Saccharomyces cerevisiae S288C: one gene and its partner. The main gene of each other region encodes a partner of the protein of the gene in region 2 in a complex. Each region holds a gene or a part of one and is shown on either strand. Other genes may lie near its edges.

Region 1 (3,236 bases), on a different chromosome or scaffold from region 2:
ATTTGTTCACATCTTTGTCAATGATAAAAAAGTTTTCAAATCGAACATTAAAAAGAAAACATTGGATCCCGTATGGAACGAAGATGCTAAAATACCAATCCTTTCAAGAAGTAAGAATCAAGTCATATTTAATGTTCTTGATTGGGATCGTGCAGGTGATAATGACGACTTAGGCCAAGCTTCACTTGACGTTTCCTCATTAGAAGTTGGTAAAACTTACAACTGGAATTTGAATTTAAACACACAAGGAAGTATCAAATTACAAGGTTCATTCAACCCAGAATATATCAAGCCAAGTTTTGATATCGTGAAAGGCGGTATCACTGATAAGCCGATGAAAATAGCCAGTGGTGCAGCCCATGCAACTGTTGGCATAGCTGGTACTGGTATAGGAGCAGCAACAGGAGTTGCCACTGGTGGTTTAAAGAAAGGTGGTCACCTTCTAAAATCTCTAGGTGGCAATCCAATGAAAAGAAGCAAGAGCAGCAATGGAAATGAGTCCAACGGTGCAAAAAAATCATCAGAGAAAAAATCTTTTGATAGGAGATCCCCAAGTAATTTGAATAGCACTAGTGTAACACCAAGAGCTTCACTAGACTATGATCCATCAGTACCTAACACAAGTTACGCGCCCGTTCAAAGCGCATCTCCTGTAGTCAAGCCAACTGACAACACTTCTAGCTCAAGCAACAAAAAAGATACCCCTAGTAGCAACTCTAGAGGACATTCTCGTGCAAGCAGTTTTGCGCGTACTTTAGCTCCTCATGGCACTTACAATGGTTTTATTACCGTGGTTGCTGCGGAAAACGTTGCCAAGCATGTTCAAATTAAGATCTCTTTAACTCAAGGTGGTAGACTAAAACACATATACAAAACGAAAAGCCAAAAAGCCAATAATGATGGTGTTGCCGTATTTGATGAAGAGTGCTCGTTCAAGGCTTCTCCCGAAGCCAATTTGGTACTGGGTGCAATTTCCCATCAAAGACTATCGAGGGACAAAGATCTTGGTATTGCTCAAATCAACTTGGGTGACCCTCAAATTCAACAAGATGGCCAAATTTCTGTAAAATTAGGAGACGGTCATCTGATTGTAAAGATTAATTACGGTAAAGACAAGAATGGTCAGGTACCTCCCGTGCCAGAAGTTCCTCAAGAATACACGCAGTAATAAACAGTGAAAACTATTCTTTTATACGCTCAATAAGGGCACATTTGGTGTGTTAACAGGTGTCTTTTCTGTGTTTGTTATAATTTTGCGCTATTATTATATAACGTTATATTTACTATAATATATTACAACATATATTACAACATATTTCAACGCTCTCCTGTTACTGCTTAGGGAGAAGAAAGAAATGTGAAGACTGCTATTAAATCCGTACATTATTAAAATGTATGGATTTGTTATATTTTTCTTCAGTTTTTTCCTTAACCAGATTCGAAAAGCGGCCCGCCTAGACCATTGCGGTTGCGGCTAAAGCGTTCTGGAGAGGGCTTCTCCGCTGGGCGGACAACAGAAGCGAGAGACACGTTTCCCGTCTGGGAGGACTCACCGGATTTGTCCAGTTTCCCACTGGAGTGTGCTTTGTTCCTTTTGCAAAATTTCGTTGGTATGGAGGTTATCGAATGGAAGGGTTACATGAATAGATTAAATGTACTACTCATTAAAGATTGAATATCAGTTTTACATTAGGCGAAACAACAAAGTAATAGCCATCCAACGAAATGAGTGCCCAAAAAGTATGTTCCTACATGTTAATTTCGAGGGGGAGATGTCAATTTACATTCACGAAGGCATAAGTTTTGAAATTTGATATGATGCCATCAATCTCAGACATATCCATACAAGAAACAATAAGATCAGGACGTCGAACAAAATAATACAATGAAAACTGATAAATGACGTTATACAGTGTACAGTGAGGATAAATGATTAAGGCAGTATACCTTTCAACACAATGTTAATACTATGAGTGAGAAGGTGAGCAAAGCAATAAGGTATATCGACCCTAGCTCATGATTATTTAGTTTCCAAACAAAGGCCCACGTTACAGTTTCAAATCGCTAGGCATAATCTCTCCCTATAAAAATTTATCACCATTCGCAAATCAAGAATACTAACATTAGTCGTTTGATATTTCTTTTTTCCATTTAGGCTCCAAAGTGGTATCCATCCGAAGACGTCGCTGCTCTAAAGAAGACCAGAAAGGCTGCTCGCCCACAAAAGTTGCGTGCCTCTCTAGTTCCAGGTACCGTCTTGATCTTACTAGCTGGTCGTTTCAGAGGTAAGAGAGTTGTTTACTTGAAGCATCTAGAAGACAACACTTTGTTGATTTCTGGTCCATTCAAGGTCAATGGTGTTCCTTTGAGAAGAGTCAATGCTCGTTACGTCATTGCTACCTCTACTAAGGTTTCTGTCGAAGGTGTCAACGTTGAAAAATTCAATGTCGAATACTTTGCTAAGGAAAAATTGACTAAGAAGGAAAAGAAGGAAGCTAACTTGTTCCCAGAACAACAAAACAAGGAAATCAAGGCTGAACGTGTTGAAGACCAAAAGGTTGTCGACAAGGCTTTGATTGCTGAAATCAAGAAGACTCCATTATTGAAGCAATACTTGTCTGCTTCTTTCTCTTTGAAGAACGGTGACAAGCCACACATGTTGAAATTTTAAATATAATTATTTTAACGAACTTCTATAATAATATATATGCAGGTAAAATTATAATTTAACTACAGTTTCATAAGTGCATTTGTATTGAGCATTGGTTTTTTATTCGCATATTTATATCTTCATTGCGGCAATCACCCAGAGAAAGGGCGTGAAAAGAAAAAGGAATACATTATTTCAAGTTCCTTTGATCTTTCCTATAATGTAGACTTTCTTGGCGCAAGACTTGGATGCATCATACAAAATACAAATTGTTAAGCAAAAAAGTGTCGCTCTGCTGTAAGCTTTGTGATGTTATATTTGATCGTATGGTGAGGAAAAACAATACACCTCATGTTATATAATGATCGTTGTTTTAGGTGAGATGTGGAAATAGAAGAGAGATTTTTAAACAAAAAGTAAATGGTTTTAAACGTTGGCAATAACAAGGCCTGCTCACAGCAAATAAAACGGGAATAGAACAGGAACGGGAATAGAACAAAGATAAGAAAATTGAAAGTAGAAAAGACAAATAGTGAGAAACAAAATGCAAGAGAAAATGCATCGCTTGAGCCCAATGTTCCTACCA
Region 2 (3,520 bases):
CACGGACTCGTATTCATGATGAGCATGTATGTGATTAATATTAGCGGCTACATGACACCTGAGGTTGGTATAGTACAATCGGCAAAGTCTTCTTCAAATCTCAACGGAGGACTTGGGGGAGCAGAAAAAGTAGCTGCAGGCGTTGGTTCAGTTCATGGCATAAATCGATAGATGCCTTTATTCACTAAATTCTAATAGCTCGGTATGAAGAACGCACACGTTCCGTACTAGAGAGGGAATGAGTAACGATTGACATATTGATATAGACAGTAGCATTTCTTATTATCTTATCTACGGGATTTTTTCAGTTTATGAGCATTTCTTATACCTTTGTTCATTATAAAACTATGTTCAATACTTTGAACGTAGGATTATCCGATATAATATAATAATATTAATAAAAAACTTATTTTAGAGTTATGTGATATGACGGGGAGATAAAATTACATAGATAAAAGATTAAAATTAACAGAGAATTATATTATCATTATTTTTCATCTTCTATTTAAGCAGCAATACGCTTTTGGGCGGCGATTCTACCTCTTTGTCTAGAAGTCAATCTAACGACCTTCTTTTCAGCAGCCTTGGCGACAGCTTCTTCCTTTTCAGTGACAACTAATTCAATGTGGGATGGAGAAGATTCGTACTTGTTGATTCTACCGTGAGCTCTGTAAGTTCTTCTTCTTTGCTTTGGAGCTTGGTTAACTTGGATATGAGAAACGTACAATTTAGTAGCATCCAAACCTTTAGCCTGTAATAAAAATAGTTATGTTGTTAGTAAAAAAAATTTTGATCCGGTTAAGTAATTGAAAAAGATGAAACTAGCGGAAAGAAATATCAAGTTTTCAATATTTTTCTAACAAAATCATAAACACGTAATGGTAATCCTTAGTTGCTTTTCAGCTTGACAGTTCATTCCAATCTGGTAATTGTGACTTTCTGAATAATTCATTTATCATATTCAATTTCCCTTGATCATAATGGATTTTCCGCGCATTTTGAATTTCAACTCATTCTTGTTTCATCTGGTACTAAACATATAATATTCTTGACATACTTCAGCGTTGGCAGCGGCGTTTTGCAACAAACCTTGAACGAACTTAACAGACTTAGCTGGCCATCTAGCCTTGGTGACACCAAATTCCTTACCTTGAGCAGTTCTACCGATGGAAGAGTTAAATCTTCTGAAAGGAATAGCTCTTTGGTGGTCCAAAACTTGTTCCAAGTATTTTTGAGCCTTGGTCAATTCCCAACCGTTAATAGCTTGAGCAGTTTCTCTGGTGTTCTTGAAAGAAACACGCAAGTAGGAACCACGAGCAGAAGCGGATTTAGCAGGGTTAGTGGAAGTAGCACCGTATCTAGCCATTTTAATCTATTAGTAGTTCTTGAGGACTCTTTGTTTGCTCTTTCGAATATAGCACTGAAAACGTTAGTAGTTGTTTTATGCTAGCCGTTGAAGCTCTAATGTTAGAAATTTCCATTGCAGTGAGAAAGCAAATCGAGACCATCCCTGTCTGCGCCCATAGAGCTAGGCCGGTGGGCTTCATTCTCCCGCCTGGCAAAGAAGCAAAGTCCAGTAGACACGCGGGAGCGATTTTCTTCCGGCAGGTCCGCCCTTACCAAATCGGTTCCTTTTTCACGGAATTTGATTACTTTCAGCATCTTACTCGGAAGTATTTTTTCAAAAAATGGAGCCAACTAAATGTACGGATGTTGTAATGTGTTTGGATGATAATAGTCTTGAGTTCACATTAAATGAAAAGCCGCCGGAACCTAGAGCATTGCATAAATCTATATAATTTACTATTGCAGAGCAATAAAATGAGGAAAATGGCTAACCTGTCAAAATTTCATAGATGATTTGATAAAGGTTCTGTTTTTTCCATGATACATAAAACATAATAAATGGTTTAATTCACCCAAATTCCTATAATTTATACTCTTGCAGATTCACTGAAATCTGGCAAACATACAAAGTTTTTTGATAATCTATGTCATATTTAAGAACTAAAATATTGCGCACACTCTCTTCTGTTTACAGAGCTGCCAAAGAGTCAAATAAAACGGAAATACTCTCACCATAATGATCACGACGGATACATTCTGCGAAAATTGGAGAAACATCGATAGTAACCAATTTCTTGGACCCAGCTATGCGTTCGCCAGAAATCGGATATGTATTTGTGACCACAATTGTGTCAATGGCATCGGACTTTTCAAGTTCTTCCAAACAGTCTCCAGTGAATATACCGTGAGTAGCAACAACATAAACCTTTTTGGCACCACAATTTTGCACCAAATGTTCAGCAGCGCTAATAAATGACCCAGGTCTATCAATCATATCATCTAGAATGATGGCAGAGCGACCACGGACGTTTCCGACCAATGTAATCAGTTGTTCCCTATAGAGAACTGGGATTTCCTCTTCGTCTTCGGAGTCGACAGCATCATATGTACCGCCCAAGCCATGCGAGTCTAAGCCATCAATAGAATGCAATTCGCTGTCAGATTCTAAGATAGCGTCTTCATCATCGTCTGCCTCATCGTCACCGATAACGTGGCCGTTACGGATCCTAGCAGTTTGAATACCGTTACTTAAAATAATGTTTTCCTCCTCATTTGGATGGTCACCTTGTCTGATGATCGGTCTATTTTTCCTCAACATTGATTGCTTTCTCAACTTTAGTTGTTGCAAATCCTTGTTTTGAGAATACAGATCCTTAGAACGACGACGATCAGTATGGATCATAGCAAAGTTGATCTTCAAAGAATCCGCCAGGGCTGTAACTCTTTTAGTACCACCTGGATTCTTAGAGACAACTACTGCATCTTCATAGTCTTCAACATTTTCTCTAATCCATTTCGCTAAACTAGGGCCCCCGTATAGGTTATCGACTGGTTTGGTGAAAAACCCCTGCATTTGAGAAGCATGAAGGTCCATAGACACAACATGATCAGCGCCAGCCATGACCAACAGATTGGCCAACATCCTTGCAGTAATAGCGCCTCTGTGTCTCTTCATTTTACATTGTTTAGAGTAAGGAAATTGAGGAATGACTGCTGTAATTTTCCTAGCAGATCCGCCCCTACAGGCAGAAACTAAAATCAACAGTTCCATAATGTCATCATTTATGGATGGAGAACCAGATTGAATGACATACACATCTTCGTCACGAACAGATACACCGATTTGAACTGACGTTTCACCATTTGCAAATTTTTTTAATGTACATGGAGCTGGTTCGATACCTAATCTTTGGCAAACCATATTACCCAACTCTGGGTGAGAGTTACCAACAAAAATTTTACACTTACGCATTTTTATTTCTCTTCAAATTAAGACTATTAAACGGTAGAATCTGCAGATGTGGGATTGTAGCTAAATCGTGAAGGTTCGGTTATTGCAGAGATGTGCGGAATAGACACTTGTTTCAACTTTTCGAGTAAAGAGTTGAAGTAGCAGTTTACACTAATAATGGAGCTGTTTTTAAAGCTAATTTCTTTAGAGCAGAACTTCGCT

The links. The genes of interacting proteins can lie anywhere in the genome.
Region 1: RPL17A (region 2) and RPL6A share a complex: the UniProt entries of both Saccharomyces cerevisiae proteins name them as parts of the large ribosomal subunit.

The regions. Positions count from the first base shown.
Region 1 is NC_001145.3:122,662-125,897, reverse strand, and holds RPL6A (60S ribosomal protein eL6 RPL6A), read left to right. Parts: upstream 1-1,725; coding exon 1,726-1,740; intron 1,741-2,155; coding exon 2,156-2,671; downstream 2,672-3,236. Other genes in the region: TCB3 (Tcb3p), read left to right, coding at 1-1,168. UniProt on the Saccharomyces cerevisiae protein: Component of the ribosome, a large ribonucleoprotein complex responsible for the synthesis of proteins in the cell.
Region 2 is NC_001143.9:107,115-110,634, reverse strand, and holds RPL17A (60S ribosomal protein uL22 RPL17A), read right to left. Parts: upstream 1,367-3,520; coding exon 1,058-1,366; intron 752-1,057; coding exon 506-751; downstream 1-505. Other genes in the region: CCAAT displacement transcription factor COY1, read left to right, coding at 1-171; ribose phosphate diphosphokinase subunit PRS1, read right to left, coding at 2,036-3,319. UniProt on the Saccharomyces cerevisiae protein: Component of the ribosome, a large ribonucleoprotein complex responsible for the synthesis of proteins in the cell.